4 linked regions of the Drosophila melanogaster genome follow. The gene in region 2 interacts genetically with the main gene of each other region. Each region holds a gene or a part of one and is shown on either strand. Other genes may lie near its edges.

Region 1 (9,815 bases), on a different chromosome or scaffold from region 2:
GGGGTCATTTGCCAGAGCAAAACGTGACAACTGGCGACTGGCGGCATTCCACGCAGTCGCGAATAGCCTCAAATGTCGCAACAGACCCTGAGTTCCCTGACTGCCCTGACTGCCCTGACTTCCCTACACCCATTTAACACAACGCAAGTGAAACCCACAAGAACTCAGAACCCAGCACTGAGTGTACCCAGTGCTCAGAAGTTCTTTAATTTCGATTTCATTTGTGCGCAACTGTGGCGAATTCGTTTTGTATTGTGGGCTGATGGCGGTGCCAAGCAGATCAAATTGAAGGACCACCGACTTTCAAGCGGAACCAAAAATCAGACGACATGCTGACTGCCGTCTAAGGAATGCAGCTATGCAAATCGCGATTTGCACAGAGTGCTGATCTGGAAATTAGGTAGCGTGCATGAATTATAGGGAGCACTTAAGGTTTTTAAAAAACGTTTCTTGAAAATGTTTAAAATGGTATAAGAAATGGTATAATATAGGTACAAAGATTTTAAAAACTGAAGATTTTCATTACTGAAACCGCAATCTACCTACATATGTTCATCCCATTCTGATTCAGGCTCCCTTGATACACATTATTCACACATTTAAAACAACTACTTTGAAAACCCCAAAAGCCAAAGGCAAATGGGGCTATTTTCATTAGGGAACGATTAATTTAAAAAATATGTCCTCCAAAGAAACCAGATTTTTGCCAATTAAGGCAAACGATGATGACTCAATGGGCGTCAATAGAGGGGGTTTCTTTGTAAATTAGCAGACATGCTGGCAAAATTTTCGATGCTATTTCGAGCTAGACGAGCCACGATGAGTAATCCTCATTGATGGGCCGAAAGTCGGTCGTCCCCCATAGTGACTAATCAAGTGCACTTTCGGTTCAGTGGGGCAAAAGCCTGGTCATGCAACCACCCAACCACCAAACCACCCAATCGGACTTTTCTCGAAGCGTATTTCCAGTGTATTGCTTAGATTCCAGAACATGCGACATCTGAACGACTGTGTGCAATCTTTACTTAGCTTTTACGAGAATTTTCCCCTGGACTTTGAGGCTGCACGAGTTAGTTTTGTGAATAGTTAGCGAGTGAATACTGATCCAGTCATACGGCGAACGAGACTAGGCCCAGATACAGACGCACTGCAGCAAGGGAGTGGCAGGCACGCCGTGATGAGCAAGTGAATGTGGCTCTCTGCACTTGATTCACCAGCAAATGGAAAACAATTTTATTCACTTATCCGCTTTATCGCACTCATATTATCAGCATGATGCGGTATTTTTTCCGCAGACTTCGCGGAAACTTTTGTCACGAGCATGACGATTAATGGCCCAGGGATTTGCTTAGATTAGAGTGGGGGCACTATGAGAATTGAAGGGCGTGACTCGGTTGCTACTGGGTAAGAGATTTCCCTAATGGTTGATAAACTTGTATATATCACTGGATTCGAGTGGTTAGTTCCAGGGAATTTCCAAATGTATCCGTAGCTATCGGTCATCCATGATCCATGGCGATATCCGATTTAGTTCCAACTAACGCGAACCGGATCGACTTTCCTGCGGCTATAGTGGCCAACTTCTTGACATTCCATATCCCTAAGAAATTCGGTATTTTGCTGAATCGTTAGCTAATGGAATTTCGGATTTATTGCAATCAGAGCTAACCTGCCTTGATTTTAAAATATACCCTTGTGCGCCTTAACTTTTGCTGATCACTTCGATTGGAATAACCAATGATTAAATTGCAAAATATTTTAAAATATTATCGATCAAAGGATTATAATAAGTATTTATTTCGTCACAACTGTTTCGAATTACTGGCCTATCGAACGGATGTGTGAAAATCAAGGCATTCCTATATAATGTTTATGATGCACATATATCTATATCCGTTACGGTCTGGCCACAGAAAAACCTTCAACTCGTCGTGCCGATTATATTAGCAGAAACGGACATAATCGAGCCCCTTAAAACGTAGTTGTATTATCGTCGAAATCCCCGCCGATCCTCTCCAGCAAAATGAATTTCACCATTGGCATTATAATAATTAGCGTCGAAATTTGCTACGATAAGTCGGGGGGCTCGATAAGTTTCCTGTCACTCAAAGCGTTTGACCTCTAAAACAAAAAAAAGAACCATAATGGGACTTTCACCCGAATGAAAAAAAAACCCAGGAAAAGATACCCCAACCACAATAACAAATCCGTTTTGCGTATTTGATTTTTTAGTAGAATCTTTTAAATTTATTTCTTTTTAGTGTGTTGTTTGTTTGTTTTTTCTTTCTTGTTGATTTTTTTGCTTTTGCTTGCATCAAATTCTTGTTTTGTTTTCTTAGAAGCTCATTATGTTCACTATATCACGTGGCCTTACGAATAGATTTGTGTGTTTTATAAATATAATTATTCTTTGATTAGACTTAAGAGCGAGAGAAACCCTAAGCGGCTTAGCTGGCTATGGTACAAAACCTATACTTAAATGGAGATGTACGACTATGTGTAAGAGTTATGCTTTTGCGTTTATCTTTTTCATAAAAAGTATTTCAGCTTTTCAGGTGCTTATTTTCGCATTTTCATTTTCTGTGTTTGGAAGACTTTTGCTGATTTGCTGTTATTCAAAGAGTAATACATGATACATGAGGCAATTCAACACCAAGTACTTGGACTGAGGTAGTTTGGCGATGTCCTGGTAGAATACCGTTCTCTCAAATCGATTACATAATATAATAATAAATAAATTATAACAACGTTTGCGTGTGTGTGTTTGTGTGTGGGTGCGTCTGATGAAGGTCCTTAGCCTCGTCGACGGGTTTCCAGGATATAAGCCAGGAAACTAAGCCAACGAAGTTGTGAACCGAGTTTAGGATTCGCATGTTTGCAACACTTCAAAGCAACATTTGCGCAATCCCGGCGAATGATGTGAAATGTCTACGCGCATGCGCACAACGCCTGCGCATGTGTGCGAGTTGGATGAGTTGTGGGGGGTCAGTCTTAAAAGCGGGAGATTCGATAGGGGTGGCTATGCTATATGATATGCATATGCAGACACCCTCTACCAGGGCCGCCAGGGCTGCTCCTCCTCCTTGATCTGCTTCTTGATCACCAGCGACAGGGGCTGCTGCTCCATTGGCACGCGCTGGATGACCGATGGCTTGATGTCCATGGGCTCGTAGCTAGAGTTGGCCGGACTGGGCGGGGCGTAGCTACAGCTGCTGCTGCTTCCGGGCGCCGACTCGTATCCGGCGGAGGAGTGCGAGCTGGCGGATCCGGTGCTGGCTGTACGCTGGGGCATGCTGACCAACATGGGTTGCTGTTGTGCTGCTGCTGCGGCCGCTGCTGCTGCTGCGACGGCGAGTTGCTGCTGCTGCTGTTGGTGCTGCAGCAACTGTTGCTGCTGCTGCTGGGGCAGGCTCTGGGGCAACACGAGGGCAATGCTACCGTTGGGCAGCTTGGTGGGGATCACCTGCATGCCATTGGGCAGAAAGTAACCGCTGGCCGTCTGCTGGATACCAAAGAGGTAGGGTGCCGCTGCTCCCTGCTGGCTATCCTGCTCCGGCGAGCTGGGCGGCGAGGGCAGCATCTGGGCGTGGATGGACTGCTGTTGCTGCTGGCGCTGCTGCTGGTGCAGCTCTGTCTTAACGCCATTGATGCAGTTGCTCAGGTGCTGTAGCAGGCGACGACGCTGGGCGGGCTCGATGCCGGGAAAGCGGCTAACCTCGTTCACACAGTCGGCGAATCCGGCCTTGAATTTGTTCACAATCTTGGGATCGGCGGCCTGCTGCATGGCTGCCTGCTGGCGCTGCAGCTCCTGCAGATGCTTTACTGTCTTCTCCAGAATGTCGGCCTTTTCCAATTTGGAGTGGCGAGCCGGCTAAAAGTAGAGAGAGAAAATAATTTGGAAATTAGTCAATGATTTAAACTTTTAAAAAATATTTGAGATAATTTCAAATATGTAGTTTTTTTTATTTTATTTGTGGCTTTAAACTTATATTTTTGTCAGATACTTACGTCTTTTTTGGTGGCATCCAGAATCAGAGTCTTGAGTTCATTGAGACAGTTGTTAATACGGGCACGTCGGCGTTTCTCCATGATGGGCTTGTTCGACTGCAAGAGGCAAGAAATGGAAAAAAAAAACATCGATTAGTCACGGCTTTTGCACGGCTAATTTGACCTCATGCAACGACCCAAAAATAGAGGAAGCTGCATGGGTCTTCAATTGGATTGGAGGAGATCAAGGAGGAGGCGGCGTAGGTTGGGGAGCGGATTGACTGGCTGGCGGCCAAATTTAGTCGCACGGCGCGTGCTCTATTTATAGCGCCACTCGGCCGAGGCATTTATTTAAAAATAGTTTGGCGGTTATAAATTACAGGCAGTGGCTATAAATAAACCAACCAGGTATGAGCAAAAATAAAGAGAATGTGACAAGGTCAGAGCGGGAAATTCGAAGATGCCATAACTAGGTACATTATTATCTAGGGAGCACAAGTTGCCAAATTTGGACTCGCATGAAGTCAGTTTTTTTTTTTCTGGCCAACTCATTGAACCGGTGCCGTTCGAATGGCCAAAAACGGCGGCTGATGACCGACAATTGCAGCCACCACGCGACGCACGCGCCAAGTGGCAGCCAAATCCGAATCCGAGTCCGAATCTGGGGAGCTGGTGGGCAGCTACGCCAGCCAATTTTGGGCGGCACTCATGAATGGATGGAGCGTGTGTGTAGTCGGAGTAGTATGCCATATGCCATATAGTAAATGCCACCAACGCGACGCGAGATAAATTCGCTTTGTGTTGGCGCGCCGACGGCAGTTGCGGCCTTTTTTTGGTCTGGCTCAGAGTGTTTTTCTTTTTTCGTATTTTTATTCCCAGCCAGCCATGTGGGAGATGGCTAAAAAGGAAATGCATTTGGGCAGCGGGATTGATGGGGCCAGTCGCCCACAGTCGCGAATGGAAATCAACTTGAGCTCGAAGTGGGTGGCTCTCAATTAGGGGAATTCTCGGTTTGGTTCGCTTCAGTTAATCCACAGATTTCGGGGAACTAGAGGTTCTGATTTAATCCATTGACGGGGTTTTTTGTTTTTGGCTTTGGATTTTTTTTTTCGAGTCTTATTTTTCTCGAAAGAAACTTACCCGACGGTCACTTTTGAGCGGCGTCTCCTTGAGCTGGGCCGGCACAACGGCGGTGCCCAGAACGTTGGTCATGTTGGCTGCTGTTACGCCGGTAACCATTTCGGTCAGATATTGTTTGTTGAGTTTGAGGCACAGTTTGGTTTTCACTTGGCAGCAAATCTGAATTTGCTGCTCTTTGCAATATAAGTTCACTGCTTTTTTGCTTTTTTTAGAATAACTCAAGTTGTCAGTTTTTTTTTTTTTCAAGTTCACTTGGTGGTTTCACTTTCGCGCAGCGTCGCAGAGAAGCACGTAAAATGGTATTGTGTCTGGGGGGGTTCTCTAGATTTCGATTCGGTTTATCAAAGCGGAGCGATAGAACCGCACGCTACGAAATACGGCAGGCGAATGAGCAGCAGGTTCTGGCTGCAGTGCGATTAAAAGACCGAAACGACTCGGCACGAAGCAGAAGATCGATCGTTCGGCTTTCGGATGGTTGCGCTATATATATGTATGTATATATATATATAAGTATTTGCTTTACTGCGTCTGGATGTTGCGGAGCGTAGCGGGACTACCTTATCGCTGGGCTCTCGGCGGAAGACTGACGATTGATCGACAGGTTCGTAGGCTAAATCGCCGCTGCGAGACGCGAGCGCGAGCCACACGACCGCACCAATACAATTGCACTGGCATTGCGGCTACCTAGGGGTATACATTATGCGCTACCTGCTCGCTTCAGTGTGTGTGTGTGTGTGTGCGTGCTCACGCTTGTGAGCGGTACCTAAAGTACACACCGCGTTACTCATACGCCCCCGTGGCTCGCGGGAATGGGCATTTCTTCCTTTTTGGAAATCACACTGCGAAACCCCCATTGGTGATCGTCGGTCGGTCGGTCGATCAGCGATCGGTTTGGCTTGACTCTGCTGGGCTCTGCTAACTGAGGGATTCACAAGAGGCTGTGTTTCTGGCTGTGCTGTTGGTGATGGTCGCGGTGGTGTTGGTGTTGTTGCTGCTTCTGCGGTGGTTTCTGGTGGCTCGCCGTTCGTGGTTTGCTGATTCATGCGGCCAACGCGACGACGTCCCATAGAAGGTGAAAATAGCTGGCTATATGACGCCACCCCAGTGCGACAGGTTCGGTTTTTTGTGCTGTGTACTGTGTATCTGCGGCTCGGGGGTCGCTAAACAGTAAACAAGATCACAAGGTTGTGCGCACGCTAGGCGGAAGTGGGTGGTTGGGTGGTTGGGTGGTTGGGCGATCGGGCAGTGGGTGGTGGCTATAGTTATCCCCCTAGCATTTTCCAGACCAGTCTGTACAACCGACTCATTCAGCATGCCGTACGCCTCAATTAAGTGAAGGTCGCCCTTTTGGCTTTTGATCGATAGCCGCCAACGGGCTAAATGAAATGGAAATCGCTGTGGACAAGGCTGCGTGGATCACACGTGCTCCGCCGGACGCTTAGATTCAGCTTGATGGCTTCTACGTGCAGCGTTGGATTTTCACGTTTTTCATATATTATTTGTTGTTTTGTTTTGGAGTAATGATTTATCGAAGGTTGACTATAATTACGCGACACGCGGAATAGTCGGGCATCAGAAAACTAACCATTCATTAGCAGAATGAGAAGAGGGGCATTGCAGTGAAAACTGGGAATATTACAGTGAAAATGAAGCTTAAATTATATTGTTTATTTGGTAGTAAAAAGCCAAAGTGCGTCACACACATTTCGTTACAACCGAAAGTGATATTTTAAATAACTGCTTAAGCCATCTATTATTTACAAAATATGGGTTAAGTTTTAAGAAATGGTAATAACCATGTAATTAGTTTAACCAGGCTGAGCTCAGTAAAGGTAGATGACACATATTTAGGTTACACGATCTATAAAAGGAAATTACGTTATCTTTGACGTTTGTTCTTGGGAAATATTTTTAAAGCCTGACTTGGACTCTGACCACTGATTAGTGAAGTTATACCAAAACCACGAATCGTCAACAAAGTTACATTGGAATGAGTCAGTCAGGCTTTAAACATTCAAGTTGGCTAAAAACGGGTGTTTACAATATTTTTTTTATAGCGAAACCACCTGGCAGTGTTTTTATAGAAACTAATAAAGTTGACTCTAATGAAGATGAGTAAAAAAACGTTTAGAAGTTAATTTGATTTTACTACACTTAATTTCTGCTTAATAATTAAATGAAATTGAACTTAATCAACAATCACGTCTTACAAATATGCATATCTATCGATTCGTGAAAATACTCAAAAAGTTTGGGGAATTTCTGACATTTTTGACGGTTGTCTAAAGTGTTGTGCGTTTTGTGGTCGCCAGAGAAGGTTGTTATGCCGAGAACACATGCCCCAACAATATGGATACATATATATATAGACGGTAGTGGCGGACGTCGACAACACCTTCGCGTTCCAATTACAATTTGGCAGCCGATCAAAAGGCGGCCCGCCCGCGGTCAGCGTCGGCAGAGGCGTTGTCGGCGGCAGAGGCGGCACTTGTGCATGCCAATTTAATTGCAACGAAAAGCAAAAAAGAAAATAAACAAAAAAGAAAAAAAAACGAGAGGTCGGAAAACGTTGGCGGCGTTTTACATCATGCTAGCTGGCCAAAAACAGCCAAAGGTGTGGATGTATCTCACGGATACAACGCTAAAGATACAGTCACAGATACAGATACACTCGCAGTTGTTTGTGCGTTGAACGCCCAATTTGACGCCCCATTGTTGTTGTTGGCGGACCCGATCACATGCAGCTTCTAAAATAAACTGTGGCAAAAATTTATAGTCGAAAAGGCGCAAGCACACAAAAATGTGCGCATTGCTAATTGCGTCTAAAATTAGACAGCGCCAGATCCCCCAGATTCCCCATAAGCCCCGGGAGCCCTGATCACTGAAAACAAAACAAACACGTTGGTGGTACGATAAAGAACCCCTTGAAGGTATTTCGAATCATTTTGGACCATGTTGGTTAACTATTTAATAATCGTAAAGGCGTTGATAATAACATTATAGCATATGTATAATATTATAGGTATTATTATTTGCTTGTATTTTATAAGATCAATGAATTCAATTTGTGTGCCATTATCATTCAAAATGGTTATTCACTAGACTCAAAATACCATATAGTTTTGACTATTAAGTTTAAAATATACAGAAAATCTTATCTTAGATACTAACTATGTTGATATTATTTATATATAGTATCCATAAACTATACTATATATACTATACTATGTATACTGTTGATCGTAGGGCTCTTTTAACAGCAACGTTGCGAGTTTAACAGCGACAGAAACCCCCACGCGCCGCTTTTAACTTAGTAGGTCGGCAACAGCAGCATGTAACTGAAAATAACAGTACTTGGTGGGGGTAGGGGAGCAACTGTTAAGCCCGAGAGTGGGGCAAACAGGGAGAGAAAGAGAGAACATGCGGACGCTCCATGGCCGCGGCGAAAATAAATTTCTAGCCGCGCGCGCCACTCTCGCGATTAAAACGCCATAAAAATCGCCAACGCTGTTAAAAACGCGCGCCACATTTGAGCTATCCGCTGTTTGCAAATGCACTGCCCAAAAATTTTACATACAATTTTCTAAAGATTTCAGCATAAATTTGGTTGATGAATACAAAACAGTGATATAATGCTTCTGATTATATTATCATTCTACAATATATACAATACAATTTTCACATACTAATGACCCTTAAATAAAACATTAAAATTGGGCCTGAAATGATCTTAATTTTCTCTGAGTATGATGCTGTTGTTTTCGCAACTAATGGCGCTGTAAATTTTGGCAAACCTGAGTGGGTGGATCAGAGTGAGTGGGAGTTAGCAATCGCATTTGTTCCCCACATTGTGCAAAGTATTTTATTACTCATTAAGCGTAACGACGCATTTTGCCCAGAATTTTATTTTCGGCCAGGGAGGGTAATGTGAAAGGGGGTGGCGAGAGGTCGGTCGACGGTGGGTGGGGTTTTATTTGCGGCAGAAGGCTTAATTTTTCGACACAAACGTCAGCAAATACCCGACGACAGACATTCTAAATTTAGCAACAGGTAAAAAAACAATGCAAAAATACATTTTTCCCCTTCCTTCGAGGCTGTTGTCTTCGTTACGTTATGCGTTTGTTTTTTATGTCGAATTTTTTAGGTTGCTCGGCCGAGCGACTTTATAAGGGCAAAAAAATGGAAGGGATCTGTGGATCGCGTGATGCGGAAAACGGATAACTGAAAAAGGGGGCAGTTCAAAACGGGTTTATTTTTTTAAGTACGATCTAACAGTATCTTTTGGTTATATGTTATAATATGATATATTAATATTTTAACTCTTTTTTAAAATATTCGGAAGCTGTTATGGAAAGATTTGAATAATGCTATACATGATAGCATGATGTCTATGATTTCTCAGAAATGTATTGTAAAGATCTGAAAATATTAAAATCAACATAAAACTCATTTGTTATCTTTCAATGTCACCCAAATTTGAGGCCACAAAGGGAGCTACAATGTTTTCTAATCCCTCAGATATGGGTATTTCTCAATGCCTTGTGGATCCTCGCTTTGCCGGCTCAGCCGGTTAATTTGCTGTTGAAATCCCAAAACCAGACTTGACTTTTCGACTGCTGGCCAAGTGCTGAACAAAGTGCACTTGGTGGCCCTTTGGTATTTGGTAAATATTGGAGTTTTTCCGAAAG
Region 2 (8,550 bases):
CACTGGCCACCACTTCCACGGTATGATGCAGCTCAAGTTCGGCGGCGGCTTCTACATTCTGGGCATTGTATTCTTCAAGGCGGACGGCACGATACCCATGGCCCATGCCATTTGGCATCTGTTTGTGGTGCTGGCCGCCGGATGTCACTATTACGCCATCCTGGTGAATCTATATCCAAGCGAGGGAGCCGCAGCACCGTGAACAAACGAGCGCCACAAAGCAGTTGTGGTAACATGCAGCGAATTTAGAACTTAGAGTACTTAACGACAGGGATTCGATGTTGTCAGCCATGTGTAACGTATTCCTATGATATACCCGATGTACCCGAGTCTCTGCTCCACAATTAGCCAAATTTTAAGCGAGCGAGGACGCCTAGCTTGTAGTCTAGTTGTAGCATTACGAACTAACTAAATCGAAACGATTCTTGTGATCAGTATGTGCGGTCTTGCCAAAGATTCAAATTGTGCGAGTGCTCATCTCTCCCTCTCCCTCTCAACTTTAACTTGATATTATTAGCGATATTCATATATTTAGTATCCATAACGACCCGTTTTGGCCATGTGTTTCTCAAAAGACTTTGAACCGTACTCAAAAGGCAAAGGACACGAATATTAAACTTGTACAAATATCCGAGAGTTAACGACCTGAACCTTTTGAACACTAGAAGCCCGCCTATCCCGCATTGCATTATGCATGTTTATACAGATTATACAGATATATTATATACCCATATATACCCATATACACAAGTAGATAGAATTAAGAGGCCATCCGATCCGCGAGTCCAGCCCCTTCGGCCAGTTTCATCGCCGAGCTCAGGGACAAATCGATGTGTTCGCAGATACTGAAGAAGGTGACTATTTACAAATACGCTTGATATCTTGATATTTTCGGGGCCTGGCTCGCGATCGGCGGATATAGCTTTCGTGTACTACTCGTATTTATGGTGCAGATCGATTAGTTTTAATGGCTCTAATAAATTGTATATTTCCAAATGAAAGCAAAGGGCTCAGATGTTTGTTGCGTGCTCAAATATAATTGTTCGTTTTACAATGTTATGCATGTATCTTGTTTAGCTTATTCATACATCTTGTTTAGCTTTAAATATATGAATATACATATATTCTTTTTTTGGTTGCAAATATATATATATTATTTTATTGAAAATTTTTTTTTGTTTGTGTAGAATTCTAAATATTTAAATGAACGAAATCTAACGGGGCTCAAAAGACATAAAATTGTATCTAATTTTAATTCGTTATTTTCTTTTCTTTAAATGAAAATTTCAAGCTTGATTTGAATTCCCATATTTGAATTTTATGTGACCGTTACGAATCAAGCGAAGGTGTGAAACTTGGCTAAATGGGTTCGTGTATTCGCTAAATGGAGTGAGTCTTAACTAACGCGGTGTAGAAAATGAACAGTGTGACCAGCCGAGTGCCTAGAAAAATAACGAAAACGCGTTTAGCCACCGTAAAGCCACCCAAATAGCTTAAATTGACCGACAACCGCGAAACGTGCACACTGCTTTGTTGTTGCCGAAGAAGGAAAGTCGCGCAGTGAATTTTTTTCTGGTAATTTTTCTTTGCTCCTCCTGACACTCGCCACGTAAATCAAACACACGATCCAAGTGAATAAGTTAAAACGTTTTAAAAATCATGACAAAGAAGCTGTTTTGTGTGCCCCATGCAATCCGTGTAGCTACAGAATAAGTGTGTGAGAAGAAATAAATCCCCATCGAAAAAACAATACACACACAGACACTGCAGCATGTACATATATATGCATATAGATATATATATATACATACATGCACAGGGTTTCTAGCGTGACGTGAAGTGTATATAACGAAGCGAAATTAAAAGAACACGCAAAAAGAGAAAAGTGGAGAGGAAACGATAGTGGAAAACACGCAGACATTGTGAAAATGCGCATAGATCATATCGCAATTGTAGTAGTACAATTACAAAAAAACCAAGCATTTTTGGAGTTTTTCTTTTCTTTTTTCAAGTTATACATGTTATTTTTTTTGCTGTTGGCCTCAAATACATACATATGTACATCTGAATAGAGCGAGTAAAGAGCAGTATACAGATACTCGCTGTTTTTTGTTTCTTATTTTTTGCTGTATACGGTTTTTTGTGAAGTTATTGAGCTGAAAGAAGAGTGCAAAAGCGATTGACGAGCCGAAAACATGTTGTAAAATTCCATTCAGCATTTCCCACCACTACCAACAACAGCAAAGCAAAAGCAAAGCCGTTTTTGCTCGCTCTCCCACTCCTTCTCTCTCTCTCTCCCGTCCACTCGTTGTTACTTCATGTACTAATTTTTTTTTCTGTGCTTGCGGCTTCGTCATTCGCATGTATATACATATGTGTGTGTTGCGCCTACGTGAGAGAGCGTGCGAGTGTGTATATGCCCGCAAACGCATAAACACACGCGCACACACTTGCAAGGCGATTCACGCGCCTGGCTTACACTTTGTTTTTTCTTTTTTTTTTCGTTTCCGTTACAGTTGTGTAGTACATAGCAACATGCAAGCATCGCCCAAAAATCATATGCACATACACATAAACAGTAAGTTGTACATAAAAACAGCAGCGTGTGTGTGAGTGCTTAATTCTTTTTTTCCATTTTAGTCTCTAACTAAATAATAATAACTAAGCCGCTGGGTAAGTGGTTTTGTTCGTATACAAACAGCTTTTTGGGGCAAAGAAACAACAAGAGAAACCCAAGGGCAGTAAGAACATATAACGAAAGGTAGGCGAAAAAGACAACAACACACATGCATACAGTCGCGTCCAGTTGTGAAGGGCCGAAAATTCTGGAATAGATTTCGCTTTACCTGAGTGTTTATCGCGTGTCCCTTTTTCACTTCCTTTAGTTCCGCTGCAAATCGACTACCTACATTTACGCATATCCTGTATACATATTACTTCCTGTTTCACCAACTATGCCACCATGTGTTTCTTGCTGCGCATAAATTGGAGTATTTTGTGATTGCTTTTAATAAGTAGATATGTACCTATTTTTTGGTGGTCGACTGTGGCGACCGCCCTACGTCGACGGCATTGCCAGCTGTTATCATCGAAGGCAACGTGTTTTGGCGTACACTTCACTTACACATGTGTCCCTGGTTAAGATATGACATATTTTGGAGTTTCCCAGAGCTTCTGCAATTAAAATAATTGTAATTTCTTCGTTGAGTGTTTATATAGCTTTAGTTGGCGAAACATTATTTTAAAGATCCTCATTAGCGACACGCGCCTTTCGGTTTATGGCCCTCCCTTTTCCATTGAAGATCAGGGATCCTGGATATTTCCAGGCAGGTAGTGAGCGCAAGGGAAGATGTTCGCTTCGCCCTCCGTTGTTGTCTCTATCGTACGCTCAGCTGCCGTATTTTTTGTTTTTCAAGTTGCAGCTGGCTGGTGGGAGAGGAGTGGAGTGGTGAGGAGAGGGCAGCTGCATTTATTTCCTTTTCTCTTCATCTCCGCTTCTCGGTGGGTCATTCCCCTTCTTGCTGTTGGCAATGACGTCGCATCGCAACGATCGTTCCCTTCGCTTAAAGCGTATTGGAAATATTGGAAATGGCGGTAGCTAGTACTACCCCCACCTCCACCAACACTCTTAATTCACATTTCTGCATTCCATTGAGGTCATTCCCTTGCGCAAATTGCACGTTACACAATTCCCATGAGCGTTGCACCCCGTTTTAAACCTTATTTGGTCTTCAGTTAATAAAAGCTTCCCAACAGTGGTCTCTAGATAATGCAACTACTTAGCGTCGTTATTTAAGAGTATATTTTGTAGCGTTGAATGTTCTTATTTCGATGTTTTTATGGCAGATAATACTGAGTTAAATGAAGTTGAATACGTCCTTGAAAGTATATATGTTTCGGTTCCGCAATGTCAAGTGTTCACTGTACTTTTTAAGCTCGCTCAATGTTTTAAAAAGCATACATGCATACATATGTACATACATGCGCATTTGGATACACTTGAAATAACAACAGTATAATAACAATCCAAGCGGACGATCAGCTGGAATGTTCGATGGATCGTTGATTGTGTCTGGCAATGCCGCTGTGATTTTGTTTCCAGACCGAGATCCATTCATGCATGCGGGTACATGACTCATTTTCCCAGCTGAGCGATTGTTAGATGCACAGATGTGTACATGCATCTTCTATATGTATATATGTATACATTAGCTCATGTACTTAAATGGGCTTTTATCAGCTGTTTAGAACACACATTCACTCAAGCACTGCATAATAGTGCTGCTCTATTTACACAACTGTGCTCCAAATTAGCAGACTACTGTTATCAAACTGTAAAGTTTTTCTCGCATTTTGTTATTGCTTTACAATTCGCTGGCGCTTTCTCCATCTCTTTCCCTCGTACACTGCCGAAAAATGTCTGCTAAATGGTGTCAATGAAATCAATGAAAGCCTGCATTGTTTTTTTTTTATTATTGTTATGTAATATTTTTTTCTGTTGTGTATCATTGCAATATTATTTGCTGCTTTGAATTATTAAACAGCTAAAAAAGTCATATATATTAACATTTTATCGTAATATTTAGAAATAATTTTGAACTATTTGTTTTCAATTTTTTAATATGATACATTGGATATATTATTACCACGCATTGTGATATGCATTTTCCCCAAAAGTTTTGTCCGTGATGGACTTTCTTTTATTTTGGTTTTTGATTTCATGGTGATTTAGCTTTCACCCATCTGCATATGGAAAGTCTATGGGTCTTTGGTACTCTATTACTTATGTTTGAATTTTCTTTCATTTCTGGGCTCTCCCATTTTCGGAATGACCGACCTTCTGGTTACCCTTTTGTATTTTCCCCCCACCTTTTTGCTTTTTCCGTATTCACAGCTTGTGACGCTTTTCGTTTCTCTATTTCCGCATTTTCCGTTTTCACGCTGGAAAGCGAGGTACACACTCTGTTTTATATATTTCTGTACATATTTTCATTTTCCTTCCCCTGGGCTTCTTTCTTTTTTTTCGGCATTTGCTGTATATTGTGTACATGGGAAAAGAGCAGCCCTCGAATTTGATGACCGTACCACCCCATTCCAGCCGGCTTTTATTCTGGTTTTTGTGTTTCTGAGCGACCCAATGCGATTTAGGCCGCCCCACCCACTTGGCCGCCGCCCCCCTTTGCGCCTTCGTTTGGCTGCCCTCGTTTTCTCTGGCTCCTCTTCTTCCCCCTTCTCCGCTGCTCGCATCTCTTTTCGCAGCTTCGTATTTTCCATTTTGATTGTTCTCTGTTTGCCAAAAGTTTTGGTTCCTCATTCGCTTCCTTGGAAGGAAGCCCAGCTCTTGCTCTTATTTTTGGCTGGGGGATCCCAAAGTGTAGGACAAATACTCATGTATCGAGTATCCAATGGATTTGCTTCCTGCTTGTGGAAAAATAATGGCTAGGGCTTAGGGCTCACTGGAAATGGTACTTGATAAGATTGGAAGTTAATTCATAAACATTCTTCCTACAAGAATAATATACTTATCTCGTACAATGGTCAAATTAATTTGCAATTAACGATAATGATAATAAAATATACACTAAAAAAATTAAAACCAATCTTACACTAACACCAATACTAAATTATCACTTTGTGCATTCTTTTTTTTTGAGAATTGAACTACTGTTCTTGGCGTTCGATTAGAGTGAACCAAACGTGCGATTAGAGTGAACCAAACACCTTGACTGTCTTAAAGTTTCTGTTGAAAAATTGGCAAAGAATTTTCCTGCAATCTGTGTTCTTGGTATTTTGTATTTTGGGCAGTTCGATTTTTTCCACCCGGCGTTTTTATAAGCGGGGAGGTAAATCTGCTTTTTCACCTGCCCCTACCCGAAATCCTAGCAAAAAGGCAGCTGCAATTGGCCTGCAGGAAAATAGGATCTATAATGGGTTATTTATGGCGGGGTTTATGTTAATGGGGATTTAGAGTTAATAGCGATATGACTCTTTTCAGGATTTATATTTGATAATATCAATTGCTCTTACTTGATTAGACTTTTAATTTGAGTACAAAAACACCTAAAATTTTAATTAGTGTTATATTAGTGTAATACAAATGCAATAGACATTTAACAGTAATAGATTAGATATGGAAATAGTATTGTGCTGGTATTGCTTCAGAAACGGATAACGTTTTAATTGCCCAAGTTCAGATTGAATCTTAATAACCAATTTTAATTGTTATGCCCTCATGGAGTTATTGGAGTCGTAGTTTGATACGTTCTAAGAATCTTATTACCTAACAACTAAAAGATGTTCACAGAATTTAAATCGGGTAGCAATACAAAATGCAGCTTGCTTCCAAGTAATTAACATGCAGCTTGCCACGTTCCACCTTTCGGCGTTTTCCACCCACCCGGCCCAAAAAAATAGAACTATCACCTTGCCGGCATCCAGCTTCCGAGAATGCGGAACATCTGCCTGCCTGCGAAGATCCGCGATCCGGGAATCGGGGATCCGCGAAATGCAGCCGGCCACCCAAGAAAGTACGCCTGGCACACTTCCTAGCGGGATCAATTCGCGGGATCTTAGGTAGCCCACGCGACTGGCACGCGCACCTTGCCTCCTTCGATCTTCTACCTGGCACCCAGCCACCGCCCACTCGCTCGGCACCCCTCTGTCGATCCTTAAATAGATCGATGGCCCGCAGGACATCTTCAGTCGAGTTCCACTCGTGACAAGTCCAACTTGTGTTCAGAGATCTTGTGATTTCTTGTGTGTCTTACATTCAATTTGTTGAAAAACGTAACTTTGTGATTATCCCATTATGGATTTCAATTTTGATACTGTGACTCCCTGTTCGACCATGTCGTCCTACTATAACTTTAAGATGGCGAGGTATGTTGAGTTCTATCCAATCGCTTGTTTGTTTGCTGGTCAAAATATTGTATAAATGCGCAGCTTATTTACTAGTGACTTGTGTTAAGAAATCGTTTGCTATAACTTATGATGGTATGGCAACCCTGGATAAGCGACTGTATACAAAGTGTTAAGGATTTAAGTATTTATTAAGTGTATTCTTAAGTTATAACCTGTGTTAGTGTATATATTTCTTCGGGATCTGCTTAGAAACAATATCTAGAATCTTTTCTTTTTTAATGCCTGACAACTATAGTTTTAAACACTCACACACACACACACACATAAACTCAGCTCAATGCGTGGTACGATTAACGGAACTTCTCTATTTAGCTGTGGGTTGATCATTTTATTTCGTTCATTAAATCGTGCAGCACACAATTCACGTCTTTGTCATATTTTTATTGTCATCGTATAAATGTAGAACCACCATTACACCCCCTCCCCTCCTCAAGCTAAGGGAAATTCAATTGAATCTAAACTATATCGATCAATCAACTCCTAGTACCAACAACAACAACTAACTCTTCAACTTCTACAACAACTACAACAGCGCGCCTACAAGAACAGCTATAATAAGCACACACTTAAAAAAAACCCCATAGGACTTAAGAGAGGAAAGCACAGTGAGCGTGCACACATGTAAAAAGAGAAAGAGAGCAACAGCAATTTTAGTACAACACAAGAAAGTTGAACAGAGGCAGAAGAGAAGTAACAGGAAAACAATAACAACGACAGCAGCAGGCCAGCTGAGAGCGCTGAGCGCCAAAACAATTGAAGAGATCGATTGAATCTCGATCATCGTTCTTAACCTCAAGTCAACTGCAACTCACCTCATCATCCTTTTCCTGTAAAACCGAAACTCACCTTCGATCGAGGGTGTAACTTTTGTTGATTCGAAAAACACACTCCCAACTCTCAGGATATGTACGGCAACAATAATCCGGGTAGTAACAATAATAATGGTGGTTATCCCCCATATGGCTACAACAACAAGTCGAGGTAAATTTTTAAACTTGAGTTCTCACGTTTCGTCAGCCACATCCACATCATTTATGTTTGATCTTGATACCCATTCGAATGACAATCCCCAATCCCCTCTTCCTTTCCACCCATTCCTTCCCACACATATAACACACAAAACTTTAAGATGATACAGTGTTTACCTAATTTTTTTGCTACCCATACCTCTTTGGCGAACGAACAAAAGACCAACCCAACCTTTTTTTGAATAGTTTGTACGAAGAAGAAAATTCCATGTTGCTGGAAAATAGTTGCAGTCAACGTTATTATTTTGTTTAGATTTAGACTTATTGGTTATGAAAGTTCAAGTTATTTGCTTGTTCGAAATCTCTTTTACTAGCAAAACTTGTCGGCATATGTGCATTGGTATTTGTGCAGGGAAGGATGTCGATTGACAGTCGATAAAATCTCGAGATTGTTATCGATTTGCTGTCGATGTCACTGGCAAAGAAAAAACAAGGAAATCATATTGAGTGATGTTCTCCCCCCTATTCATTCTACATTCACACACATACACATTGTTTGGTTTTTAGTTCACTTGATTCTTCTTTTTTATTTTTGCGCTCTGATATTATCAGAGACAGAAAGAAAAACAACAAGAACAGCCACAGGAATGGATAACAATAA
Region 3 (8,713 bases), 2.0 Mb from region 2:
TATTTATAGCTGCCTTTCGTTCTTTCTTCGTTCTTTTGTTCCTCTTCAACATTGCTCCTTCTTTTTCGTCTTGTTCTTCTTCAACTGCATACCAAAAAAAGGCAAAAGAAAAACACCCAGCTAAGGCGGACAAAAAAAAAACTCGCTTCCTTTTTTTTCAAATGTATATTCTACGTTCTTTTTGCTCTCTTCTTCTTCTTATTCTGCTGCTGCTGCTTCTTCTTCTCGGTTGGCAGCACTTGAGACCTGTTTTTTTTTGTCAGTCTCTCTCTCTCTCTCTCTCTCTTTCATACTGTGTTCCTCTCTGCCGTTTCCTTTGTGCTGGGTATTCTTGTTTGTTGATTCACTGCACAAATAAATCTCGGCTTTGAATGTTATCGAGGTGTGCAGGATTCTCTGGTTTGCCCTTTTTCGCTTTTCTCTTTCTTTCCGATTGTCAAATATCGTTTTTGGTTGGGAGATTAAAAAAAACAAACCCTTGGCACAGGTAGTTCGTTTCACTTCCATACGCACACACCTACATATACATAGTGTGCATTGTTTTATCAGTCCTTCGGCAGGTAAAACTAATGCCAAAAATATATGTACGTATACCAAGGGAAGAGGAAGAAAAAAGACGAGGCGAAAAGAACTCATATTAAATGCCTATTGGAGAAATCAAGTTTGCCGCCTGAGTCTTTCGATTCAAAATTAAAAATTACTAAGGTTGCGAACTTGAGCTACCTTCCAAGGTATGCAATTTGAAAAGTATGTTTACTCAAATAAATTTGTGTGTTAATTGTTTTGCCATTATCATTTAGTTGTTATCATTTTAAATGTAGCTAAACTGGGTTTTTTTCTTCTTAAGCAGAGCATTTGATATTCTTATATGGTTTTTGATAATGAAAAGGGTTACCCATATGAGGCTTGATTAATCAATGCAGAAAAGGCTCTCATCAGTTGATATTCATTCCATTTACATATGCGCAATCAAGTGTAGATGCCCATCTAGATTTCAATTAGTTGAAGATCGGAGAGCGAATCGTCTGGGGGATCAAGCGCTTAATTGAATAAACAATAGAATTGATTTGATTTCCGAAGAAAATCTCAGCACTGGCACTATGAAGTAATGGGTTTTGGGTTTTGTTTTCTGTTACTACTGCCCCCTTGTCTTTCTCTTTTTGCATTTACCTTACCATTTACCTCATTTACCACTTGACTTTTGCTTTTGACTCGTCGTCGTCTGTGTTTATTTTTTTTTTTTTTTGGTTTTGTTTGAGATGGTGAGTGTTGTTTGGAGAGGGTTCGCTGAACTTGTCTCTGGAGAAGGGTCGCGAGGTCTTTAAGGGAACCTTTCGCTAACTTCCGCTCGAGGATTGCAACATCTGCGTGTAAGCTCTGTGTGTGCAATTGAACTTGCAGTTCTAACAGCTGCAGAATTTGCATTGATCGCTCTCCTTTATTTTTGGAAATTTCCTTATCGCCGATCGGTCGATCAATGAATTTCCTTTCGGTTATTTATTAACTTTTACTAGTGGCCCGAGAGAAATTCGCGGCATAAAGATCGCTGACTGAAGATAGAGGAAAATGTAACAGGAAGTTATGCTCATAACTTCCAGCTGTGGCGGGCGAAGAAACTAGGAGGAATTCTTGTCCATATATGCATGAAGTTCAGTTCGGTTCGTTTTGGTTCGGTTTGGTTCGCTTTTCTCGAGCATCTTGGTTCGCATTTTGCTTTTTCTCCTGTAGCAATGTTCATCCTCCAAGGCCCTTTAGCATTTCACAAGCTCTGTTCTTTTGCCTTTCCTGCCTCTTCTGGTGAGTTTCTTCTCCCCAGTCTTCAATTCGACTGGTTCTACAAGTTTTATTATGGCCAGTTGCCTTGACTTTGCTTAGGCCAAATGGCAGACGACGTACCTACAATGCACCCCACCCAACGTCCTCATCCCCAAACCACCTTCTCCTGCTCCACCTCCTCAACTGAACTTGGCTCTCATGATCGTCATGATGATCTTCTTAGTCATTGTGTGTAGTTGGAACTTTAGCTCAAGTCTAGGCTGCAAAACCAAACAAAATGAAGTTCTTTTTCTGCTCCGCACTCTTTTCTTTTTCTTTTTCCGTTTCTTTTTGCTTTGGCTTTGGTTCTTCATCTTCTGGCAAAACTTGTACTTTTGCGTGGTTGAGAGGAGATTTTTTCTTGTATCTGGCTTTTAGTACCTTGTACTTTGGTAGTTATATAATTTTTTTTTTTTCGTTCGTTCTAGCTTCGCTCTAGTGTGTGAGTGTGCGCTCAAGTGTGTGAAGTTCTTGGCCATGGGCACAGCCCACTAAAGCCAAGAAAAACACGAACAGCGAGCGGTAATTGAACAAAAAAAAAAAAAAGTGAACAAGCAGTGTGACCAGAGGGTTCTTTGAAATCAGAGCAGCATGAGAACACATGTTTAGAGTGCAAGACCTAAATAATATTAAATCCTGCATAGATTGATCAAAGTTGGAACTTAAAACTTCAAAGTGTTAGTTATGAAGTTATGCGAATCCGATGAGCTCACCAACTTCTGTGTAATTCTATCCAATTTAAAAATTTTTTCTTTGAGAATATAACGTTGCGAAACGATTTCCCTTCAAATAACTTCCATTACAATATCCGCAGAACTCATAAAAATTATACAGCGGAAGCGTTCATAATACATTTTTAAGTGGATGGGCGATAGAGATGATGAAGGGAACTTGGTTGGCTTGGCGATAAACCGGGAGGAACCGAGAACGTAACATGTTATTTAATTTAATAAATGTTGTATATAGCACTCAACTACGCGCTCCGTGAAAATAATATATATAAGCTATAACCATGAAATATAATGCCTGCGTAAGGGGCAAAATTATGAGGCTGCGTGTGAGAGAAGCTACTCTTGAAGTGAAGTCGAGCCATAATGGTTGCATAAAAATATAGATATAATTAAGGCCAGACAAAGGGCAGTTAAAAAATGCTTAGAAACAAAAGACTTTAGCGAAAAAAAACGCCAAAAGAACGCTGAACGAAATTCACTTTCAAATAAAATCGAAAAGAACTTAATTAATAAAACTCGCCCCGAAAACGAAGAAAGTTCTTCTCGCCTAATCATTTATGAAAATTTTAAACCTTTAACCTAAGACCACCGCCTAAATCGAAATGACTTAATAAGCATGCTGGGCGATTATATAACAGAAACAGACAGAAAATAAAAAGAAAACTGAAAACAGAAAACAGAGATCAGAACAGAGACATGAGAACTCTGCTTGGCTTTTTTGGCAAAATAAAAAAAAAAAATAAATAAAACGAAATAATACGCTTACGAAATTCAATGAAAGTGATTGATGTCGAAGTAAACCCATAGCTCCGTTTTGGAGAATGGAAGATAGACAGGGCAGATATAGATACAAAGATACAAAGATACACTGGGGACGAGTTCGTTATGGTGTGGGCGAAAAGCAATAACAAAAGCTGCCCAAAAGTGAAGCTTGAAATTTGAAAAGATTTCCAGGCAATAGATATGGCGCATTGTATTGCCAGCCGATTTGCCATCGGCCAAAAAAAAAAAAAAAAACTGACTGACAGATTTGTAGCAATTATTTATCCAAGTAAATTAAAATTCTTTGCGTTGTTCTTTGATATTTTGTGCTTCGAGTATTCCAAACAAGTAACAGAACGCATTTATGTGACAACGGTTTGGCAAACGGAAATTTAATCGCTCCTAAAGGTGTATTTATGTATAAGGCAGCGAAAAGATTTTTAGACTCTGTTTTAGAAAAGTTCAACTTACCATTTTGAACTTGGCCAGTGGCGCATTCGACTTCCAATTCCGCAGGATTTTGTATTTGATTGGGATTTGCATTTGCATTTGGATTCGGGCTCTGATTTTGATTGAGATGATCGAGACTGTGGCGCGATTGTCCGAAGTAGTGACGACGATGGTGGAATCGTTTGCGCGTGAGGCTCAGTGGCTGTTGATCTGAATCGGGCACCTGTCCGAGCACCTGTTGCCCCTGACCTTGCGGTTCCGGTGGTGGTTGGGATGTGGGCGTTGGCGAGGGGCCGCTACCACTCCCACTTGGACTGAGGGGCGGCACCAAGCGCTCATCATCCTGATTCTTGTGCTGCAGCAAGTTTTGCGATTCAAGCAAGCGCTGTTGCTGCTGATGCAGGCGATTTTTGATCAGGAAAATCTTCGGCATGATGGATTATCGGTTGATTTGCGATGAACGATAAGCGATTTAACGAAACGCGACGGCGACACGCGACGAATTCAAGGAGGCGACGAATTTCTTCGTATTTTCAGGTGGACGAGGGACAGTTACAGTGGGTCCGAAATAAACAAAACACTAATCCAATTGTGTGTGTATGTTTGTTCGCCGCTCGTCCACTGTGTTGAAAAAAAAAAAATTGCTTGATTTCAGTTTTGATTTGGTCATGAGCCGAGCTCAAGTTAACTTCTGTTTTGCCCTCTTCATGTCTTTTGAAAGTTCTTCGGCTTTGCAAGTCAAAGTCAAGTCAATTATAATTGAGGGATTGTTTTGGGGTGTCCTTTCGTGATTTTGTTCTTTGGTTCGAGAATTTTGCTTTGTTTTGTCAAAACACTTCGAAAAAATGTACTTGAAAAATATTGCCTTTTCGGCAGTGTCGAGTCTTGGTTCTTTTTTTGAAAAATCAATTTTTTTTTAAGTTTTCGGTGACTTGTCGAAAAAAGTGTTGATTTTTCCCCCAAGTTTTCAAAAAAAAAAAATATTCGGTTATGAGAAATTTTTGTTTTTCCCAATTTATTTTTTGGGTTTTCAAACACTTGTTGGGTTCTTGATTTATTTGTGTTATTCAGCGCACTTGTAAAAAATATTACTCAAAAAAAATTTTGTTTCTGTTTTGTATGGATGTAATTCAATATATTACTATATTGATTGATGCACAACACAGTGTTTTCGTTTTTATAAATTGTATTGTTTTATGTGAGTTTAATGGTTTGCTTTGGTCTTTGGGATTCGCCCAGGTGAGTTAAGCGAAAACACGTGCATTCACAACGCCGGCTCGCAACTTACTGTATTCGAGGTAGTCAGTTAGGCCAAACCAAAGTCAACCGATCGATCTCGCCGCTACAACAAACTCAGTTAGACGGCGAATTTAAAACACCGTAAATCGAGAGAGAGAGAAAGAGCGAAACTTCCCTTTCGTATGAGTCAGAAAATAACGAGATATTCGCCGTTGCTCAGGTGAGAAAAACAGCGGCGAAACGGCGAACCAAGCGCACCTGTGTGAGAGAGAGTGAGAGTGTTTTGTGTGCGTTGCCTCATTTCGCTCACATAACGTTTCTCATGCAGTTTCGCGCTCTCTCTCTGTCTCTCTGACGCGCCCTCTCTTTCCCTCCTCAGAGTCAAGGTAGTGATGATAATGATGATCACGCTCATGATCAAGAATCTTCGCCTTGGCCATTTGCCGGCTGAGATCGTTTTTACCCGATACCGCGAGCTGTACTTGTGGTACTTAGAATTTGGTTGGATTGGCAAATTAATAGAAAATTTAGAAAAATTTCAATATAAATATTTATGTTCCGGTCATTTTTTGTTAATTTTGTACTGTACTTTCGAACTAAGGACTTTGTATTTACAGCACATCTTAAAATAATTGAATTAAAGCTAAATTTAAATAGATATTTTTCTTAAATGTTCTTAAGCCTATCAATAGATATCAATTATTAAAACGATTTGTTTAAATGAAATAGTTTGCAAATAATGTTTTTAAATATCCTCCTAATTATAATTAAATATTCTGGCTAGTTTGTTTCCTAAGTCATTTGATTTTCGATAAAAAGAACCCCAAAAAAGGAGGCATGATTGTGGCCCTTGAAGAATTTCATCATTATTATATCTGTGCGAGTGTGTTTGTGTACAACGATGGAAAGAGAACCGCGGTAAATACAATAAGAAGAAATAACGAGCCAAATAAGAAGAAGCAACAGCGGCAAGTAAGATGGAAAAATGTACCCATATAAGCGAAATTAAACGGCAAAATAGTTGGCAACGCAGGCATTTCTCGCTCTCAGGTGTGCGTCTCATTCTCTCTCTCTCTCTTTCACCAGCTCTCTCCTTCCCCTAAATCCTTGTGCGCATGCGTTTGTATGTGTGAGAGAAGATCGCTTAGAATGCGCTTAGAATGGCAAATAAGAAGGCCTAGCTCCATCTCTTTTCAACCCGCACAGGTGCGCTGCCAACGGATAACTAACGTTATTTCACCGACACACACACACACATGGAGAGCAAGTGATGTAAGCGACGGCGAATTCAGAGCGTCGCACACCTGTGTGGCACACACACTCATATACATACACGCACGCATACGCTCTTTTGCGGCGACGTAACAAATTTACAGCTAACTTTGAGCTGGTGTGCGGAGGTAGAGAGAGAGAGAGCAACGAGCCGAAGGTAAAAACGAAGACGAACTCACGTCCGAAACTGAAAACGAAGCCTCGTTCGCAGGTGAGAGAGGTGCACCATAAGAAATTAGTGCGCTGCCCCTTCAAAACTTAATAGAATAATAACATAAAACTGAGGATCAACTTAATCCTTTTTTTTTTTAATTTCATATCAAGTTAAAATTTTAAGAAATAACACATTTTTAAAATGTTGGCCTCTGATTGAAAATAATCGGTAGAATTTGTAATTCAATTATCTGAAACTCATTTTATTTCCGTGCATCGATGTGTATCGCGAGAGAATTGGAGAAAGAGCGGCTCTGAGAATCTGAGGCCGAAGTGGCAGGCACAGAAAACCTGTTGCTAACTTTGGCTTTGACTGTGACTTTGCCGTTGAGGCAGCGGCAATGTTAATGTCATGATGTTGGCGTTAGTAGAGGTTTTCCGTTGGCTCTTCTTCTTCTCGGTCGGTGGAGCCTTCTGAAGAACATCCCCCCCCCCTGCGTTGTTGTTGCTGCATTGTTCCTGCGCCAACTTCACTCTCACTCAAAAAGCCGCTCGTTGGCCAAAATGCAAGTGTTCTGGTCCAGAACGAAAATATGCACAGATTTTGGTTGTACTAAAAGATTTGATTATATGTACATTGTGTACATAGAATGTTCTTGAAAGCGAGAATTTGTATTATGTCTATATATTTTTTGCAAATAGTTCTATACGAAATAATAATTGATTTTCTTTGATTTATTTTCAGAATCTAATTGAAACCCTTGCAGATAAAAAGTAAGTTAAAACTCTCAGCGAAAATTTAAAATGCAACTAGTTTAGTTTAAAGCTTTATTATTCTAAAATGGTTATTGAAGCGACTATAATATAAGCCCAAAGTTCAGATAGTGGATCGAGATCTCTAACCAAAAGCGAATCTCAAGTTCTTGATTGCGAACCCAATGAGAATCGAGCTGGTTTTTGTTGTTGGCCCAGACCTAGGCCACCAAAGGTATAGACCACGACCGACACTGCTTGCCAGATCCATATATATATATATATATCTTGTCTATATGTATACATCTATACCGATGTACGTAAGTGTGGAATTGCACATGGCAAGTGTGTGAGTGTGTTCACTGGGCTGTTAATGCCTTGACTTTGGCTTTGGTAGTTGGGTTCTTGTTTAGGTTGGGTGGGGTTCGTTCCAAGAAGGGGGCGGTATGGGCGTAGAAGAGGGCCCACGGAGCCAACAGAATTTTCTCGTTGTTAGTGTCTGCATCTTCTGCTCCACGGGCAGAGAGACACCCCCCCCCACCCCTCTTTGCCCGCCGTCGCCCATTTCGCTGGGTAATTGCTGTGTTTAAGAATGTGTTCCTTTGGGCCTCAATGCGCTTGGATCGTTCGATCTCATTCACTCCTTCTTGGCTGGTAGTTCTTGCCATTGTGCGATGGTGTTGTACACTCGAAAAAAATGATCAGTAGTGTATTTTTGATTTATTTTGATATATCAAAGTGCAGAAATGGGTAAAATGTCTTGTGTTTATTAGTTTGGAAAGCCAAAGGTGCGTTGCCAAGCAAAAGTCGGTTTTGCATAATTTAAAAAGGAAACAATTGTTTAGATTATTTAAAAAAAAATAATTCAAATAAAATCTTGAATGGAATGTATGGAAATAGTTTGGCGATCTTTTTTCTATTGTTTTTTTTTTTGTTTTTTTTTTTATTACAACTTTTTGTTGGTTCTTATCTTTATTTGCTCAATTGTCGTCATCGACGGCGACTCGCTAAAATAATGCTTCAAGTGAAGCAAGAAGCAGATAGCCAGCCAGCCAGCCCATTGTGGTGGTAAAAAGAGCAAAAGCAGCAGCAGCGGCAGCAGCAAAAGAACGTAATCATCGCGATGATCATGATGATGAGCACGGCAGAGCGGCTGGGAATACCTGTTTTACCTGTTTGTATACCTACTAACGTACTAACACTGTTATAGCGGATTCAACGCGCACCGCACACGCCTGACAACAACAACAGCAACAACAACAACATCAAGAACAGCAATTGAAGACGCGACCAAAGCGGAGGAAGCACATGAAAAAGAGGAAGAAGCCGCTGGAAAAAAAAGAAGAATCTCTTGCAGTACCGATCCCAACGCCCAAAACCCCACACACATGGATACATGAAGCGGCAGGCAATTGGATATGCTCGATACCGTGATACCTACTAAATAGAATGCTGAGTAGTAGAGGTGCTTGTGAGATAGGATAGAATGAATTGATAGAATCTTCTAAGGATTAGATGAGGAAATTTGTTAGTACTGA
Region 4 (3,441 bases), on a different chromosome or scaffold from region 2:
AGTAACTGCTCTCAGTGAAAGCTCAGACTGGCTTAGTTACTTGTATACATGGCACATACTTATATGATAACTACGTATCTTATCTTTCAGATCGACATACTGTGCAACGAGGAGCTGCTCGGCAAGGATCACACGCTGAAGTTCGTCTACGTGACGCGCTGGCGCTTCCGGGATCCGCCGCTTCGGCTGCAGTTTCGTCCGCGGGTCGAGCTCTAACCACTGTTTTAGTATAATGCCACAACAAATGATCTATTTTTATAATTTATTGACAATGCGTAAATATCGTAATTAGGAGAGTCGCTAGTGTTAGTCCCCTCGAAACCATGAGTGTATGTGTAAATGTGCATGTATAAAGTCGTAAATATATGGTTATCCCTCCTAGAATTAAGTAACTTCCACTTCCTAACTCGTGTGACCCTTTTTTTGCCGCCTTCTTTGCTGCATTTGCTCATGATTTAATCAACGTTCTCCGTTTGCAATATTTTATGTTCTCCATTTTTAGTTTGAAATATATATGTATTTATTATTTTAATGTACAAAACACACGAATGTAAATAAATTTGTAATTATGTCGAATGGAGTATGTTCAATATGGGGGACGCCCCGCGTTTCTGTAGCCAAATCGCGGAACTCCAATGAACGGCGGTCGCTGGCGGTATCTGTAGGGGGCCGGTGGAAACGGCGGAGGACGTGGTAGCCTTTGGTATCCAAAACTTTGCTGCATACCAGACATCCCCTGCAAAATCGATTTAAGTTAGATTTGTTATTTGTTTCAATACAAATAACTACTAACGTAGAAATCCTGTGGTGGCACTTGCACATAGTAGTTGATGATCTTTGGCGGAGGATTATACCGATGCGGGCTCCGTTGACGGCGTCTTCGTTCACTGCTGCGACTTCGGCTATGTTGACGGCGTTTTCGTTCACTGCTGCGACTTCGGTTGCGATTGCGGCTCCTAGAGCGCTGGCGATGCCTTCTGTGCCTGCTCTCTCTGATGGACGACTGTGATCTGGATCTGGAGCGAGTGCGTCTGGTGGATTGGTGCGCTCTTTGGCGCAATCTTCTCAACCGATCCTGTTCTCGAACCTCGTCTGCAAAGTACGGAATCTTGTGCTCCTTCTTTCTGCTGTCCCTCTCGCTTGATCGCCCATGGTATTCTCTTTCTCGCCGGGATCGAGACCTTGAGCCACGGGAATCTATGTGAAAAGAGTGTGCGGTTAGTCAATGCATCTAACGCATAGTGTTTGGCGCATCGTCGGAGACGGAATCCACGTAATGCGCAGTTGAGAGTCCTATTGTCCTAGCTTCTCTTTCTCTGTCTGGTCGTCCAGCGTTCATTCTCATCCATTTCACATTTCACACAATATGACACTAGAAAAAAAACAACAAAAAGATGGCACTGGATCAGAATCTGATCAGATCGGTTATACTATATAGTGGGTACCTCGATGCTGGGTTCCACTGCTGTCGGCATCCATTTTCATCGGAAAATGCTGGAAATTAAATGATGCACTTTCCTCAGTGTGACCGTACTCGGCTTGCACCTTGCAATGTGCCCGCCAACTCACTTTTCGACGAACTATCGCTACATATACGTTACTTTTTGAATATTCGAGAGCAACATATCAAAATTTAAAATTAACTCATATACTTTATTAGTTTTTATTTAAGCTAAATTCAACTTTTAGGAAACAAGCGAGTATTTTAACTTTAGGGTTATGCGTTTTCCTTACAAATACTCTGCAAACACGGTTTCATTTCACAAGTACACAATACAATTTTTGTTTAAACTAACTACACAAACATAGGGAAAGCAGAATTAGCAGGCACAAATAAAACAAATTTTAAAATTTAAAACTAATCGGGACACTGATGCGCTCGTTTTCCATGGAGACCACAATGAGCGGCTCCCTTTCGAGCAAATCCTGCCTGGGTGAGCGGAGCAGGCGCACATCGATCTCCGCGTGGCCGCCATCCGGGGATACGTAGCACTCACTGGGACTGATTCGCACCAAATCGGGCACATTGCATGTGACCTCGATGAGCTGCCTGGAGCAGAAGCTGTTGGTTACGGACAAAGTGGCCAGTGGCGAACAGCCCACTCCGAATTCCAGCAAACCTGGCTGCACACACCAGTTTTGCTCGACGGGCGTCAACGTTGTGGTGTCCGCCTCCAATAGCTCATCCACTGGCTCCAATAGATGGCTCTGCGTTGGCGTCGGCGAATTGGCCACACATATGGTGCGGAATAGCACGGTTTCGTCGGCCTCCGGCAGGAACATCAGGGAACTCTCAGACGATTCATCAAAGTCCCGATTGAGGGTAAGCGCAACATCAATAATCCGCACTACTGTGACCAAGTCCAGAATAAACTCTGGCGGTTCGTTCAGCTGACCGATGTTGCGCACTGGCTGCTCGTCCGGAAATTCGCCCCAAATGCTGTCCAGCATCGGCGATGTGAGTTTCTCTCGCTGTCGGCTGCTCATCCTTTGGACCAAGCTACGCATACGCTGTCTGTTGGGCTCGTCTCCGCAGAAAATCCGCATATTGGCCAGGGTCAACACCTGTGCGGTCTTCTTAAGTATGTTCTTCAAGTCCTCACGATTCGGTCGGAAAAGTATCTGCACGCAGCGCTCGCTATTTGGCGGCAATATCAAGCGGCTCGGACGTACCTCGAAGGCCTCGCTGAGGCGCAGTTTCATGAGCACGGTGGAGTCCACTGATATACCAACGAAAGCGGTGAGAGGGCCCTTGTTGTGAAACTTGAGATTCGCCGAAAGCGGACCAGCGGACAGCTCGCATACATCGCCGATGGTAAGGAAACTGGCGCCCACCGGTCCCTTTAGCAGACCGTTTATGGTGATGGACGCACTGCCCCCGTAGCCGTACAACGGAATCTCTAGGCCCGGCTGGTTGCTGTTATGCGCTCCTGGTGGTGCATAGAAAGACAAGGCTCCGATGGCCGCTCCACAGACAGTGGGGCAAAAGTTGATCACTACCGAGCGGCATTCCATGGCTTGGAGTGTGATCGTGCTGCTGTCGGTGCCCACCAGCTGGAATCCGGGTCCCTGGATGCCAAGCCGAATGACCAGCCGTTTGTCCGCTGTGTTCTTAACCTGCATGGACTTACGCACATCTGTCCGCAGCTTTGTGCTTCCCCAACAGAGGGTCGTGTGGGTCACCTTTAGGGGGAGCAGTTTTCCATCGCGATGACTGAACTCACTAGAGTTCGAGCAGCGCGAAATACTACGTGGCACTGCAACAGAGCTGGTTCCCAACCCACGTCTTCCACTCGCTGTGAATCCGCTGGTGGAACTGGCCTCACTACCTGCGGGCGAGGAGTTTGCTTTGCGGGCTGCTCCACTCATGAGCTGCCGGCGGTCGGAACTGGTTGTGCTGTCCAGCAGCGGCGACGAGAGACAGCTTCTTGGCGAGGACAG

The links.
Region 1: of Sxl (region 2) and hry, changing one suppresses a phenotype caused by changing the other (phenotypic suppression), as found in Drosophila melanogaster (one study listed by BioGRID).
Region 3: of Sxl (region 2) and ovo, changing one suppresses a phenotype caused by changing the other (phenotypic suppression), as found in Drosophila melanogaster (2 studies listed by BioGRID).
Region 4: of Sxl (region 2) and tra, changing one suppresses a phenotype caused by changing the other (phenotypic suppression), as found in Drosophila melanogaster (3 studies listed by BioGRID).

What each region holds. Positions count from the first base shown.
Region 1 is NT_037436.4:8,671,661-8,681,475, reverse strand, and holds hry (hairy), read right to left. Parts: upstream 5,718-9,815; 5' UTR 5,227-5,717; coding exon 5,128-5,226; intron 4,105-5,127; coding exon 4,009-4,104; intron 3,872-4,008; coding exon 3,053-3,871; 3' UTR 2,223-3,052; downstream 1-2,222. UniProt on the Drosophila melanogaster protein: Pair-rule protein that regulates embryonic segmentation and adult bristle patterning. Transcriptional repressor of genes that require a bHLH protein for their transcription (e.g. ftz).
Region 2 is NC_004354.4:7,091,026-7,099,575, reverse strand, and holds the start of Sxl (Sex lethal), read left to right. Parts: upstream 1-1,522; 5' UTR 1,523-1,575; exon of another isoform or gene 1,576-1,631; intron 1,632-1,807; exon of another isoform or gene 1,808-1,952; intron 1,953-2,509; exon of another isoform or gene 2,510-2,578; intron 2,579-2,640; exon of another isoform or gene 2,641-2,761; intron 2,762-5,091; exon of another isoform or gene 5,092-5,805; intron 5,806-6,692; exon of another isoform or gene 6,693-6,808; coding exon of another isoform or gene 6,809-6,879; intron 6,880-7,405; exon of another isoform or gene 7,406-7,453; 5' UTR 7,454-7,825; coding exon 7,826-7,902; intron 7,903-8,550. Other genes in the region: CG4615 (uncharacterized protein), read left to right, coding at 1-202. UniProt on the Drosophila melanogaster protein: Sex determination switch protein, which controls sexual development and dosage compensation in females. Sxl protein is only active in females: it is inactive in males throughout development.
Region 3 is NC_004354.4:5,044,609-5,053,321, reverse strand, and holds the start of ovo (ovo), read right to left. Parts: upstream 5,050-8,713; 5' UTR 4,192-5,049; coding exon 3,780-4,191; intron 1-3,779. UniProt on the Drosophila melanogaster protein: Transcriptional regulator with essential functions in the germline and soma. Plays an essential role in regulating the formation of apical cell extensions such as denticles and aristae, and initiating cytoskeletal remodeling during epidermal differentiation.
Region 4 is NT_037436.4:16,589,559-16,592,999, forward strand, and holds tra (transformer), read right to left. Parts: upstream 1,493-3,441; 5' UTR 1,486-1,492; coding exon 1,446-1,485; intron 1,373-1,445; coding exon of another isoform or gene 1,302-1,372; exon of another isoform or gene 1,198-1,301; coding exon 794-1,197; intron 737-793; coding exon 587-736; 3' UTR 501-586; downstream 1-500. Other genes in the region: l(3)73Ah (lethal (3) 73Ah), read left to right, coding at 91-216; spd-2 (spindle defective 2), read right to left, coding at 1,846-3,441. UniProt on the Drosophila melanogaster protein: Member of the regulatory pathway controlling female somatic sexual differentiation, regulated by Sxl. Activates dsx female-specific splicing by promoting the formation of a splicing enhancer complex which consists of tra, tra2 and sr proteins.